Linked DNA regions of Oreochromis niloticus. The protein of the gene in region 1 purifies or fractionates together with the protein of each later gene. This does not show direct contact. Links are inferred from orthologs where the notes say so. Each region holds a gene or a part of one and is shown on either strand. Other genes may lie near its edges.

Region 1 (7,943 bases):
GCACCTAAAACTTAAGTAATGCCTATGATAATTGCAAATATGCAGTGATTGAGGGAAGTTGTCACATTGCCATAGTGCCAACAGTTTGTCTCCATCCTATAGCTTTTCACCGAGTTCTCTCCCTGAATGTTAGAACAAGGTCACGTGTGTTTCTGCTGTTCAGTAATACTGCTATGTTACTGTAACAAATGGGAATTAAACATGGAGCCTCCACTGAAAGCAGAAGAGTTTATTACAAAACTTGCATAGGTTGTTGATGTATTCAGGGTAGTAAACTCACTTTTCACAGTAGGCTGAGCAATTTTAAGCTTGTTTATCCTATCTGAGCCTCTGCCAAATGACCAAGACACCCCTTGGATTAAGCTCATTTCTGCCAGTCATTCCTTCTGTTTCTACCCACACATTTGACCATAGATAAGATTAGGAAGGTGTCTCAACTGCTAAACTGACACCTCCACTTTCAGTTCTCTAGACCATGAAAACCTGGTACAACATCCACAATACAGCAATGTTACAAAAGCAATTACCCCAGAGCAATCTGGAGGTCAAAAGCTAATGAAGTCAACAGAAGCACATTATCTGCAAAAAAAACAAAGATGTTTTTCAACAAAGCCCACCAAATTGGAGACTCCACCATCTGGCTATGTCTAAATATTCTGTTCATAAAAACTATGAATCTGTGACAAAGGGCAGCCCTGGAAGAGACCAATACACACTGGAAATGAATCTGACTTACTGTATTCAATACAAACCAAGCTCTTGCTGCATTTGTACAGGGACCGAATGGCCTGTAACAACTGGCCAGACACTCTATAGATACCCCACACAGCATGTCCTGACATATGCAGACAAATAGATTTTCCAGGTCCACAAAACACATGCAAACTGATTGGACAAATTCCTATGCACACTTTAATAATGAATGGGTGCAATGTTCTGTGACTAGGACGAAAACAACATTGTGCCTCCTGAATGCATGGTTTTACTAACAGACGGACTCTCGTAAGATTACTTTGGTAATTTAAAGCCACCGCCAGACCTCCATGCAACATTTCAGAGACATGTCAGCTAGGATAACCCCACAACATCCAGGGTGAATCTCATCCACCCCAGCTACCCTACCACGGAGCAGTTATTCAACTCAATCAGTGACCTCACCTCAAGTGATAAGCAAGTCATCCCCTCAGCCTCACTCTTCTTCCATACAGAAAACATGACAGTGGGATTGAGGTATTCCCTAAATCAGGGGTCGGCAACCTGCGGCTCCGGAGCCGCATGCGGTTCTTTAGTCCTTATAGTGCGGCTCCGCGTGGTTTGGGCAAATAAATTAGAAGTATTTAGCTGAAGTGTATTTTATTTATGTTAGTTCTTTTTACTCGTAGTTCTAAATTGGAAGATTATTGTGATATTGAAATATAAAAATAAAATTATATTCTATTATTTTTTCATCGCTCAAAATAAGAGTCACCCTCGCGGAAGCCGGTATACCCGCAGAAACGCCGTGCATTTATCGAGACTTTCAACCCCAGGTAGGCCAATTATGGATCTTCGGATCCACATTATGTCAGCAGCTGTTCTCCACCGTGAACTATGTTAAAGACAAACACTGTTCACGCCTGACAGATGACAGCTTACAGTCCTGCGTAAACTGACTTCGTATAGCCCCGATTTGCGGACTCTGTGCGCAGAGGTTCAGGAGCAGAAGTCCCATTGTAGTCAAAGGAATTTGCAAAGAAAAGCGTCTGGACTTCTTTAAGTTGCTTGAAGACGTTTCACCTCTCATCCGAGAAGCTTCTTCAGTTCTAAGGTCAAATGGCCGAGAGTCCCAGATTTAAACCCAGTGGGAGTATCCCCCCAAAGAGGGACAAAGGACCCCCTGGTGATCCTCTAATCACATGAGCCAAGGTGTGAAAGCGGGTGTGGGACCTAATCAGCCAGGGTTTCGGGTGAGCTCATTGTGAAACCTGGCCCCACCTTGTTATGTGAATTCCTGAGGTCAGATGGCCCAGGATGTGAGTGGGCGTTAAGGCGTCTGGGGAGGGAACTCAAAACTGGATTATAGATGGCAGACAGTTGGTGTCGTAAACCACCGCCTCTGTTCAAAGATGGTCGCTCACAGTGGACATAGATGGCCTCTTTCACTCCTCTTTCAAACCATCTGTCCTCTCTGTCCAAAATGTGAACATTGGCATCCTCGAAAGAGTGACCTTTATCCTTAAGATGCAGATGGACTGCTGAGTCTTGTCCTGTGGAGGTGGCTCTTCTATGTTGTGCCATGTGCTTGTGAAGTGGCTGTTTGGTCTCTCCAATGTAGAGGTCTGGGCATTCCTCGCTGCACTGTACAGCATACACCACGTTGTTAAGTCTGTGTTTTGGAGTTTTGTCTTTCGGGTGAACCAGTTTGTGTCTGAGTGTGTTGCTGGGTCTGAAGTACACTGGGATGTCGTGCTTGGAGAAAACTCTCCTGAGTTTCTCTGATACACCGGCTACATAGGGGATGACAACATTGTTGCGTCTGTCTTTCTTATCCTCCCTCGCTGGTGTCTGATCTTCTTTTCTGTGCCTCTTTGCTGACTTTATGAACGCCCAGTTAGGATAACCACATGTTTTGAGTGCTTCCTTTACGTGTGTGTGTTCCTTCTTTTTTCCCTCAGGCTTAGAGGGAACATGTTCTGCCCGGTGGTGTAGGGTCCTAATTACTCCAAGTTTGTGTTCCAGAGGGTGATGGGAGTCAAAGAGGAGGTACTGGTCCGTGTGTGTGGGCTTCCGGTAAACTTCGATGTTGAGGTTGCCATTCTCTTCAATGTGCACGGCGCAGTCCAGGAAAGGCAAACAGTTATCCTTTGTGTCTTCCCTGGTGAACTTGATGTTTTTATCCACAGCGTTAATGTGCGCAGTGAAGGATTCCACTTCTTGTGTCTTGATTTTGACCCAGGTGTCATCTACATATCTGTACCAGTGGCTGGGTGCTCTTCCTTTGAAAGAGCCAAGAGCCTTCCTTTCCACTTCCTCCATGTAAAGGTTGGCTACAATAGGTGACACGGGGGAGCCCATGGCACAGCCATGTTTTTGTCTGTAGAAGCCTTCGTTGTATTTGAAGTATGTTGTGGTAAGGCAGAGGTCTAACAGTGTGCAGATCTGATCGGGTGTGAAGTTGGTCCTGTCTTCCAAGGAGCTGTCTTCTTGTAGTCGTTTTCTGACAGTCTCCACTGTTTCCGTGGTGGGTATGCACGTGAAGAGAGAGACTACATCAAAGGACACCATGGTTTCATCTGGATCCAGGGTAAGTTTCTGGACCTTGTCGGTGAAGTCGGTGGAGTTCTTGATGTGGTGTGGGGTGTTCCCCACGAGAGGTGCAAGGATGGTAGCAAGGTGTTTCGTCCTGTGATGAAAGTCATCCTGTGATGAAAGGATGAAAGTCTCAGCCACCCTCTCCAGTGCGAAAGTCCCTCCGATATAAGGGTGGCGGCTGACAGTTTTTGTTTGCTACATGGATCATTCTAGTTCAGGTTGGTGTCTTTCCTTTTGTTATATTTCTTTAAGAGTTCAAAATGTGTTGATTACATAAATATAATTTAATTTTCTCTGTAGCACTTCATGGATTTCATAAGCAGCACACCTTAGTTGTTCACACAAAGCATAAAGATAAAAAACAATATATACAGTGTTATCTTCATTTTAGATGTCAAAAAGTATTTGCGGCTCCCAGTGTTTTCTTTTGCGTGGAAACCAGGTCCAAATGGCTCTTTGGGTGTAAAAGGCTGCAGACCCCTGCCCTAAGTGTTCCTTCCACTGCCTTACCTATGTCCTCAGTTGAGGTCAGTGAAATCCCACCACCGCTTTGAGACCAAAAGTCTTGTTCAGTGGTCTCACCAACTCCTCCCACACCAGAGTTTTTAGGTCAGCCACACTCCACTTGACCTGCTGGTCTGTTAGCTACTTCTGGATTCCCACAGGCTAACCAAGCCTGATAAGACGTCTTTTTCAACCTGATAGCCTCCTTCAACTTCTGTGATTACTGCCACAACAGGCACCAATGACCTTGCAGTCACAGCATTTTGCAGTTGCCTCAACAATAGAGGTGTGGAACATGGTCCACTCAGACTCACTGTCCCCACCCTCCCTCAGAATGCAATCGAAGTCTTGTCAGAGGTGGGAATTGAAGATCTGGAGGACTGCCAGATGTCCCCAATGCTTGCTCACTATACGTTTCAGTATGCCATGTCTGGCTAGCATCTTCCCCTGCCATCTGATCCAATTCACCACCAGGTGGTGATCAGTTGACAGTGTAGAAGCTCTTTTTAAGTGTCCAAGACATATGGCCGCAGATCTGTTGCTATGTGAACTTGTGAACAGCATGGTGTTTGTTATGAACAAACTTTGGAAAATATAGGAAAATATATTGGTCCTAACACCTAGAATACCTATAAATATTTATACTTACTTTTATATATTTACTTTTACTTTTCTACCTTTACTTCTGCTTTACTTTTATATATTTATACTTCTGCATTACATCTACACCTTAGTTAAGTTGTAACTGCAAACCCTTCTGAAACCCTACCTCATAACCTATGGGTAACGTGATGTGTACCTCTAGTAATCTAACTACACATGGCTGTTTGATGCAGGGACACTAGCAAACGGCCACTTGCACATGCTACGCCTTGGCTCTACATACTACATAAGTATAAATTCAACTTTAAGGGAGATGTGGGAGCTGTTTTGGGACATCTGTAAATTAAAATCCTCGCCGCGCTAATATTCAGTGTGTTATCTATTATTTTTTAATGATATTTATGTGAGAGCTTGTGATTTATAAGTCGTAATATATACACTTATTGTGAATAATTAAAAATATTAATGATAAAATGAAGCGAATAGCTTTTGAACATTGGCATTTCCGAGGCAGATGGCGACCTCTGAAGGCAGCGGGCTCAATCGCCTCAGCTCTCCATTTCAGTCCGGTCTGCTGTGTTTTGCGGGCCGCCGTCCACTCTGACCTCTTAAGACTCGTTGAGAAGAAATGGGAGCACCTTGACGTAACTCCCGGCACAAACGGCTCTGTACCCTGTATTTGTCCCAGAAGAATTATTCATACACCTGTCGATCGTCTCTTTGTCAAAAAGAGCAAAAACGGTGAGTGAATCGTTCTGCTGGTGACCTGAAGATCGAGGCCGTTGTCGCTTGAGTTTTGTGTCCGCTGTTTCACCGTGGCCTCTCGGCTCTCTTGGAACTCGAGTCCGGTGGTTTCCTTTAGAAGTCCGAGGCCGCATGTATAGTTGGTTGGCAAAGCAAGCATAAAATACAGGTATAAATTATTTTAATGGTTAAAATTTTTTTGGGGGACAAGACGCTTCAGTTGTTAGTAGGGAAAAAGCTTTTTTGTTGTTAAAGTCTGCTTGTTTTTGGAAGCTAACGTGGTGCTAAGGCCATCTAATCGGCTAATATTAGCCGGCTTTCCGGGTTTCGGTACATGAAATTACTTTTATATTGAGGGACAAACAATTGTATGACTTAATTGAAAGCGGCTGAGTCTGAGGTTGGGGGATTATGGAGATTTTTTAAGCTTTATTTCGGTTTATCGGCCTGACATCGGCCGATGCTTTACATTAGCGAATCTGGAAGTAAAGCTACTCACCCGACTATAAAACTGTATGTACCCGACTGGACAGCTAACTCTAAGGCTTATCGCTTCCAATAACATAGCTGTTCTATGTCCTCTTAAGTTGATTTGTGTGAATAATTAGGCTCCGTATGGCTCGTCAAATAATAAAAACTGCGGTCATACGATTAGCTCTCTCGGATATGGCTGAACGTGTTTGTTTTCCATTAGTCATAACAAAGCTTTTTTTGCCCGACTTTTTAACATTGTGTAAATATAAAGTATAAAAGTTTGAGTTCAACATGGGAACATTTAAATGTTGATTTCTTGTGTTACTACATCAACATTTGTTTTTATATCATTGTTTTGTTTTATTTACCTAATGGTCACTTCTCTTACCAGTTTGCTGTGTAACTGTTATGTGTAACTTTTATTAGGTTGGTGTACCGTAACTGTTTCACAATATTGTGAGCGTGACAGCTGTTCTGTAGGTTTAAATCATGTTAAGCGAACTTTGCCGAATTACTGAGTAATAAATGTCCATATTTTAATTTCTGTCTTTCAGGTTTAAGAAATGCTTTATGGAGCGCTTACATTCTTTTAACCTTGTCTCAGGTATCCACTCCTCATTGGAAAAGCTATGTTTCGGCTAGATGGTTTCAACAAAATCAGTTGGTACAGTCTACGCGAAAGTAGTTTTTTGTGATTAGATAATTTAACTAAGTTTTACAGGTGTGTGTTCTCCAGTATGTGTTGGTGTTAAATTAGTTTTCTTTTTAGTCCTACCCACATTTCCCTAAGCAGCTTTTCCATTTGCCAGATCGCTGTAAGTACAATAAGAATTGGTTGTTAATACTTGCCTGGTTAAATGCTGCCCCATTTACCTCTGAAGTTGGATGTCAGAACTGTGAGTGAGGTCACTTCCAAATTGATTATTTCATTTGTAGTCAGATTTTCTCAGTTTCTAATAGAATTTTTAACTGGAATGCCCCCTCAAGTCTGACTTACGGTGCATTCCTGAATAAGTTGTAATTCCTGAGTTCTTAGTCGGAATTTAAATTTGGAACACCTAATCGAAAACCCAGCAACTGCCAAGTTAACAATCCATGGCAGTCCTGAACGTGTGCAGTAGTAAAACTTTTCATATGTGCTGCCAGTATTGTGTCTTTGTGGCTCATTAAAATAACAGCTAGTTGCTAATAAAATGATAATGTTAATGTAGGAGCAAGGCAGCAAATGTTACCATTTGTAACATTAATACACTGTTAATTCAACAGGGTAACAGTAATTTGTGTCTAACAGTCTACCAGCAACTAGACAGAAATGGCAGCAACCTACCTTACTAACTCTATTTGACCATCGATGAAAATATGGTGTCAGCTCACCATAAGCACAGCACCACCTCAGACAAACTAAAAAAATTTTTTTCAACTGTATAAGAGAATTGTTTTATCATTTAAGTAGTATTGCGTATTTTCCTGGGTATCAGTTATCTAGTTGGAAATTGTACTTTCATGACAAAACTAGCAGGCCCATGTGTGACTTTGAGGCAAGGCATTCGGAAAGCATGCTGTTTAAATGATGTGATGATTTCGCCTACTTGATTCACCACACATGTATGCCAGTGTATTAATTCTGCAGACCCTCTGAAGCACCCATTAGCTGTCATTCACATGGATGTGATGACATGTTGTTTTGTATTTTCCTTTATTTTGTATAGCATTTTTTCTTTTCTTTGCTAAATTAACTTCTGTATATTGTTTACATGATCAAAATAAATTTACAAACTAACAATTAATAACAACTAATAATTAATCATTATTACATTTTTCTGCTCCATACAAATATGATGTAATTCTTGGTTGTAATATGTTTACTGGAGATGCTGATGAAGGCTGCAAGCACATTATCAGTAAGGCTACGTTCACACTGCAGGCGAAAGCGCATCAAATCCAATTTTTTTGACCCTATGCGACCCATATCCGATCATGGTATGACAGTGTGAACGGCACAAATCCGATATTTTCAAATCCAATCTGGGTCACTTTCGTATGTGGTACTGAATCCGATACATATCCGATGTTTTAGAAAGTGACTGCTGTTTGAACGGTCATGTCGCATTAAATCCGTCTTTTACGTCACTGACACAAGACAGACGCCAATTATCAGCGCCGGAGAAGCGCCCGAGAGGACATCGCGAACGCTTCCTGGCCATCCAGTGTAGATGTCAGTGAAACTGTTGGGAAGACAACGTTGGAGAAACGTGAACATTTTATTTGTACTGTATAATCTGCAGATTCTGACAGAAATCTGCAACTATCCTTTGAAACACCGATCC
Region 2 (7,787 bases), on another chromosome or scaffold:
TGTATGCTTTGATTTCTTTTTAGCTTCCTTTTCAGTATTTATTTCTGCTTGGAGGGTTTCTTATAATTTAGTTAATGCATTTTCCCTCCCACGTGGGACATTTAGTTTTCTTTGGATTTCTCCATCTATATGCACTAATTTGTCCGGCGCCTAGACATTTCTTTTCTAGCCACTGCTCGTCAGCAGTGAGTTTTGTTGCTTTATTTCCCATTATTAGTTTATGCTTCTTTTAGCGCTTAGTAATACACACACACCTGCGGCGCTTTCACTGGCACGAGAACAGAGAGAGGTAGCTGACACGCCCTTCTACTTTCAGCTATTCTTGAAAGCGGTGTCACCTTTACGTGATAAAACACGACCTTCCTCTCAGCTCACCAGTACTTCAGCGACCAACAGTAAACAAATCAGTGGAATAGTTCAGCCTCCTTATTGTGCTGTAAAAATCAACTTATTCCACCAAAAAAGACAATAAAAGACAGACAGTTTTAACGCGCGTTCACGCTACCAGCCTCTTAAGGCGAGCGTACTGCTTCCAGCCACTGTGGGCGAGCTAGGCCTATTTTACCCTTTCGGGGAGCTACCAATCACTTATGACGAGCTCAATCTTTATTTTAGTGCTTCCAACCCTCTGCGGGCGAGCTGACTACCAGTCCTCAAGACGAGCTTAATGCTTCCAGTCTCTCTTGGACGAGTCTATTTCTTTTAAGTTTCGTTTTCGTTTTTGCGCAAACCTTTATTATCTCAAAGTAGTCTGTCTTACCTTGGCGCTGGTTTCTTGAGATGCACCTGATCAGCCCCCGACGGTGCGGACCGCTTGTAAAACGTTGACCAAGACCCGAATTCACGCTCTTGGGTTTTATCACACACCTAGTATGTGAGCTGCCGGCAGACTTCAACGTGGGCTTCTCGCACCGACGGGACCTGGTGAGGTGCTTTCTGTGAGAGCTGCTTTAAATAGGCTGTCTCATCCGGCTTCGAAGGACCAAGAAATGTTAGGGGAAATCTCCCAAATAGAAGGCTGCCAAAGTAAAACAGAGACACAGTGAGACAATATAATCAATCACATGTACATGGGGTGAGCGTCTCAAGAGACAGTCACACCAGTACTCTTCTTTATTGCAGTTTATATAGGCATGTAGGTTACACAGCAGACGGAGGCAGTCTCCGCCTGTTCTCAGAATATAGATTGCTTAACTGACAAATGCATATCTTACTAAACATTCTGTCCGTACTATACTAAACGTCTGCTTAAGTGGAACTTTCCGTTGCTCTTTGCACAGGAACTTGTCTTCACAGGCATTTGATAAGCATAGGCAAGGCTTCATGTTTATCAGAGTGAATCGTCATTCAGAGTTTACACAATCACAAGCAAAGCATATTTGAATAATAAACAAAATCTTTTCACAGTTATGTTGGTTCCCCTTCCGTGTCTAGTCTGCCCTAGTTGTGTCTCTGTGTTTGCTCTTCATCTCTGTTCTTGTTTACCTTCAGTCTCCCCAGTTTGTCATAACTCCATGCCCATTTGTCCCCAGTCCTAGTGTAAAGTTCTCATGTCATAGTATGAGTCTTGGTGTGCACGTGTTACTTCCAGTTTTATTTTTGATAGTCCCCTGTCTCATATATGCACATAAGACATGTTCAGTTTTGCTTCCCCTGTCATGTAAGTCAGATTCAATTCACCTGTGTTCCCTTGTGTGTTCCATCTTCTTGATTACCTCATGTGTATTTAAGCCCTTACTTTCCTTCAGTGCCTTGTTGTGCACTCCCCTCATGTTGTGTGTTTGCCTGTCCAACCTGGCTGGACTGGTAAGGTAATCTGGCATTCTCGGCCAGTGCACAGTGGCCAATCATTTGATGCATCGTCAGTTGAAGGGCCACATTTATGATTCATACATTTTTATTACCAACACTGTTTTGCCCAAATCTCTTAAAACACCGGGCCCCTCCCCTACCTTCACCATGTGCTCACGCACCTAGCACAACAGAGTTTAATGTGGAAGAAGTAGCTGAAAAACTAAGACAGAAAAAACAACCTAAAAAATAAATGCAGCAAAATGTGTCAAATGAACCGACTGTCAACAGTAGTACTCATAACAACTAATAAGCCCTCGTAGTCACAGGACGCTGCTGTTGCTAGCAGGGCTTTAATAGTTTTGCAATTTTCATTAGTTTTTATTTTTATTTCGTTTTGACTTCAGATTTTCAATTTTATATTAGTTTTAATTAGTTTTTAACAATTGTTTGCTAGTTTAGTTTAGTTTTTATTTTTTGGAAAATCCTTAGTTTCAGTTTAGTTTTGATTAGTTTCAGTTATAGTTTTAGTTGTGTTTGCAATAAAGTGTAACAAAATCCCAGTTTCATCATATCAGTCATTCTCTTCTGCTTATCCTTGGGTATGTTGCTATTCCAGCTACCATACTCTGCACCCTGCACAGGTCGCCTGTCTGTCGCAGGGCTAACACGCAGAGACAGACAACTCACGTTGCCACCTATGGGTTCTTTAAATAAATAAATAAAGGCAGATGAACAACCATTGATACCAGGCAACTATAAAATGTATATCTTGGCCCCAATGAGACTATTAACTCTTGCAGCACCGGGTGTTAAGGCAATTGACTCACACAGTTATGTAGATATCCCAGTCCTGTTGTCTCGGGATGCATCACGCTGCCTTGCCTGGTGTTAGCTTCTGTTTCTGGGGATGAGGGTTGGGCGTGCTCCCTTACCTTCTCAAGGTAAGCTAGGTTAGCCTTCTTGTGTGAGCTTTTCAAGTGCACTTTAAGGTTTGTGGGATTTTTTTCCTTTTAGAAATGTCCCTCATAATTTGTCTCTTTCCACTACAAGACACTTGCTTTATCCAAAACACAGTCATATTCAAAGTAATCCCAAATTGGACTCTGGTGCTTTCTCCAGACTTTTCCTGACATGATTCTGCGCGTGGACGGAGCAGCAACACAGACGACTCGACTAACGTACTGCCACCTGCTGGCATAATGAGACACAGCAAGAAAAAAACCTGGAAACTAAACTTAATTTTCACCCTTGACTATTGTATGACACGCACACATCAACGAAAACTAAACGCCTTTTTGCTATAAATTCAGTTAATTTTAGTTAGTTTTGTGAACACTCATTACAGTTTTAGTTAGTTTTCCTTTTTTTGTTTTTATTTTTATTTCCGTTAACGAAAATGTTTTTTCACTTCTAGTTTTCGTTATTTCGTTAGTTTTCGTTAACGATAATAACCTTGGTTGCTAGTACCAGCCGTGGAAAAGTACAGGAGGAAGGATTAGTGATGAGGCCTGGTAGAGTCATTGTGTTGATACTGTGTTGGTGTTTGGCTCAATAGCACCATCTGCAGGATTAAAAAAACATTGATGGCAATCTTAATAAACAATGTGGAGAGACTGAACTTCAGTCTGACTACTGGACATCAAATGAGTGATGAATGGTCCTGTTTAAATAACCAGCTAATGATGAAGTGCCAAATGAATAAAAGAAAAGTGTCTATTTTCATTCATTTCACACTGACCAGCTGCATCACTGCATGGTACGGCAGCACTACTGCTGTGGACCGCAAACGCCTACAGAGAGTGATAACAACTGTGGAGAAGATCATCAGGACTCCGCTGCCCTCTCTGCAGAGCATCTACCATCGCAGAGTCCAGAGGAGAGCTGCCTCCATCCTCAAAGACCCCACACACCCCCAACACAGACTGTTAACAACTCCTTCTTTCCCACTGCTATCAGGCTCCTGAACAGCTGACCTATTTTTGAACAGTAATAATAATTTTTTGCACATAAGGTCATCCTGCATATTAAGCCAGCATATTAAGCTCATAGCTCTTTTGCACACATCTCTGTTTCACACTTCAATAATGTCTTCTTTTTTGTCTTCATTTATTTATTTGTACTATTTGTATTTTATGTTCTATTTCTATTGTATATATTAATTGGCATCTGTGTGTGGACAGCAAAGAAGGAATTTCATTGCACAGAGAAATGCCTTTTTTTTCTTTGGACACCTGACAATAAACACTTTGAATCATAAAGCAAAACTCAGGGAAGCAGAGGCATATGAAAAGTAAGTAAAACAAGATGTCCATAACTGAGGCTCTAGAAACTGCCAAACAAAGACTTACAGCTCTGGGAACTATAGTAGTAATATACCATGGAAGCAGAGGGCAAGAAAATAAATGGCCAGTTTGGATCCAAAGATCCATTCAGTGTGTACACTCAGCTACAAGGGAAAAATGTCACAAGGGCAGACCAGTGGGAATAACAATCAGGATGCAAGATACCTCCAGAAGATAAGACAGGTGTTGAGAGCAGTGGGAATAAAATCCAACAGTTCAAGCCTGTACCCTTTCAGTTTATCACCCAGGTTAAACTGATTACCATCACAGATCTGACTAAAAAACAAAACAAAACCAAAAAAATCTGCCCAAGGTTAGTGGTTAGCACTATGGCCTCACAGCAAGAATTTTTGGGGTTTACGTTGTTTAAATCCACCAGCTGGCCACGTGTCTGCGTGGGTTCTCTCTGGGTACTCCTGCTTAATCCAAAAGTCCAAAGACATGTCTGTGTCTCTATGTATGTAGCATCCTATATTTAGCTCTCAAGTTGTTTTTCCTCTTTTTTTAAAATATTTTTTTAACGGCTAGCCTTTGTTTTACTTGAGTTTCAGTTCACAATAAAAGCTTTTTGTTGTGAAAGATTTAGCCGTCCTTGTATAATAGGAACCGTTTTGTACACGGTAGGTGGCAGTGATGCGCCAGATCAAAAAAAAAACAAAAAAAAAACCCACCACGAAAAAGAAGTGCAAAGTTCAACAGGAAGTCATCCTCGTGTTTTTGTGGTGTAGTTACGGCACTGAGACAGGTGCGCACATACCAGAAAGTGGTTAAGACACCTTTTTCGGAGAAGTCATCTCATTGAACAGGTGAGTAAATATTGGTGGAGAGTCGGTGGTGGTAATGTGCTCCTGTCGTCATCGTCACCGTTACAAACGTATGATTTTAGCTGCTGTTAGCTTCAGTGTTTGCGCTAAAATGCGTGAAATTTCCGAGCTGGTTTCTGCCCAGTACGTTTATTTCGGAACAGCGCAGCGCCACCGTGCAAACACTGAATGATGTAGCAGCTATTTTAGATTCAGTGTGCGTTTAGTATCGCTAGTAATCTGCGTGGTTAGGTAAACACGTGACTTCACAACGCTAGCCGGCTAATGGCTAGCTCTGTATGCTAGCTTCCATGCTAATATCCATATACAGACGGGTCATTAAAAATAGTGACGTCATCACACGTCTGAAAAGTAAATGTATAAACATTACACGTGTTTTTTTTTTTTAAATATACATTTTATGGTTATCACATAAAACAATGGTGAATGTTTGTACATGAATACGTCGTTTTTTCAGTTAATCTTACATTTAAAATTGAGATTTTAAGGCCTAATCGTTACCGGTATCGTTAAGAAGCATCAGAAAGGGTAAACAAAGTAAAACATTTGTTAACAAATTAGACTTAACTAACTCCAGAGAAGCAACTTCCTTTCAAATAAAATGTGTATGGTTAAACAGCTCTACATTGAGACGCCTTTGATTTTTGTGCTATGTGCTGAAAGTAAACCTTATTTAAATCTACAGGTCCCAATGGCCTCGTACACTTGCATCAGCTGCCGAGTAGCTTTCGCAGATGGCGAGGTGCAGCGTGCACACTATAAAACCGACTGGCATCGGTACAACTTGAAGCGGAAGGTGGCCGACATGCCCCCCGTCACTGCTGAAAACTTCCAGGAACGTGTCCTGGCTCAGAGGTCCGCTGCTGACCAGCAGCTGACTGATGCATCAGCCACTGAGTACTGCACCATCTGCAACAAGAAGTTCTCCAGCGCCAACGCTTACCAGAACCACCTGCAGTCCCACAAACACCAACAGGCCGAAAAGCAGACCCTACTCGCTGCCCAGAGGAGAGTGGAGAAGATGAATGAGAAGAACCTGGAGAAGGGGCTCAGTGATGAAAAGGTAGATAATGACGCAAGGAATGAGGCCCTGCAACAGGCGCTGAAAGAACAGCAGAGATCGAGCCCTGCCCAGCAAGACCATGCACAGACCTCACAAGGAGCAACAAAGCAGAGGACTGAGAAGCTGGATAAACCTCCCAGGATGATGTGGCTGGAGGAGCAAGCCAAGAGGCGAGAAAGAGAAGAAGGTGGCACAGCTGGTGAAGGTGAGTGGATTAAATGAAATAAAAAGCATTTCTCAACTGTCTGAATTTCTTGCCACACCCACAGAACATTATAAACTGAAGGCTGACAGCAACACTTGCACTTAATTTAGAGGGGGGAAAAAAGCAGTAAAAATGTCATGTTGTCTTAGTTTGAATGTATTTCCATAAAAATGTTGTAGAAGACTGGGAGGATGTAGATGAAGATGATGAGGGCGATGATGGTGATGAGATGGAGGCGGATGATGAAGAGGAGGTGATGGATCAGGAGGAAGGCGAGTCCACTGCTCTGTCTGATACCCAACCTCCCGCTCTACCCGGTTCCATCCCCATCACTGACTGCTTATTCTGTTCCCACCACTCCAAGTCCCTCATGAAGAACGTCACACACATGACCAAAGTCCACAGTTTCTTCATCCCTGATGTGGAGTTCCTCATAGATCTGAAGGGCCTCATCCGTTACCTCGGTGAGTTTTGACTGTAAAATTGCAGCAGCAAGGCTTGTATTGATATAATGGTGTAGTTACAGAAAGATGTGGTCAGGATCATCACATACATGAAAAAGCAAACACTCTTTTGCACATGAATGTTTTCTTTTGTGCTCTAACAATTTTTAAAAAAAAATTTCTTTGTTTTACAGGAGAAAAAGTTGGTGCTGGGAACGTGTGCTTATGGTGTAACGAAAAGGGGCGTTCGTTTTACTCAACAGAAGCAGTACAGAGTCACATGTTAGACAAAAGCCACTGTAAGCTCTTCACAGATGGCGATGCCGCCCTGGAGTTTGCAGACTTCTATGACTTCAGGTAATAAAGACATTTAACCAGAGCCTCTCTTTAATGCTTAGCAATTAGTGGTCCTTTTTTGTTTAGTGGGAATAGATATAATGCATCTTGCTTCGTTAAACCCATCAAAGGCTCATTGATTTTCACTTTTCTTTTGCCAACAGGAGTAGTTACCCTGACAGAAAAGAGGGGGAGGATGCTGAAATGGATGATGAAGAGTTGGCTGATGACAAGAACCTGGAATATGACGACGAGACGATGGAGCTGACGCTCCCTTCAGGTGACTTGACATGAGATTAGTTTTTATAATTGGAGATCCTGGTCAAGTCTTAAATGTATGTAAAGGAATTATATGAAATGCTTGCCCTATAAGCCACAACTCTAAACTTTTCATGGCTAACATAAAAATCGGCACCGATGTGGTTTTTAGTTGGTAATGGGTCACATAGATTCAGCCTGCAATGCTGATTGTCCAAATTAGAGGTGGGCGATATGACCCAAAATTCATATCTCGATATTTTTTAGCTGGATGGCGATATAAGATATATATCTCGATATTTTTTAAAGCCATAAAGTAAGAACAAACAGAGAGTTCTTAGTCAAAGCTGTGTCCCAGATGTCACACGGGCACTTTTATTAACATACAGCATAGATGTACATGAAAAAACTACTCAAAAATAAATTATGAGCATTTATTAAATAATGATGCTCTATAAATAAAAGAAGACTATGTTGTTTTGTGCATAACAAAGAGCTCACAATTGTGCAGTCAAAATGTAA

What was found. The genes of interacting proteins can lie anywhere in the genome.
Region 2: the proteins of hectd1 (region 1) and znf622 purify together in Homo sapiens (affinity purification with mass spectrometry; 4 studies listed by BioGRID, with this or other methods). This does not show direct contact. The link is inferred for Oreochromis niloticus from reciprocal best matches to the Homo sapiens genes HECTD1 and ZNF622.

Annotation. Positions count from the first base shown.
Region 1 is NC_031983.2:3,635,481-3,643,423, forward strand, and holds the start of hectd1 (E3 ubiquitin-protein ligase HECTD1), read left to right. Parts: upstream 1-4,936; 5' UTR 4,937-5,139; intron 5,140-5,167; exon of another isoform or gene 5,168-5,311; intron 5,312-7,943. UniProt on the Homo sapiens protein: E3 ubiquitin-protein ligase which accepts ubiquitin from an E2 ubiquitin-conjugating enzyme in the form of a thioester and then directly transfers the ubiquitin to targeted substrates.
Region 2 is NC_031982.2:32,333,045-32,340,831, forward strand, and holds the start of znf622 (zinc finger protein 622), read left to right. Parts: upstream 1-4,787; 5' UTR 4,788-4,942; intron 4,943-5,645; 5' UTR 5,646-5,651; coding exon 5,652-6,228; intron 6,229-6,407; coding exon 6,408-6,692; intron 6,693-6,865; coding exon 6,866-7,028; intron 7,029-7,171; coding exon 7,172-7,287; intron 7,288-7,787. UniProt on the Homo sapiens protein: Pre-60S-associated cytoplasmic factor involved in the cytoplasmic maturation of the 60S subunit.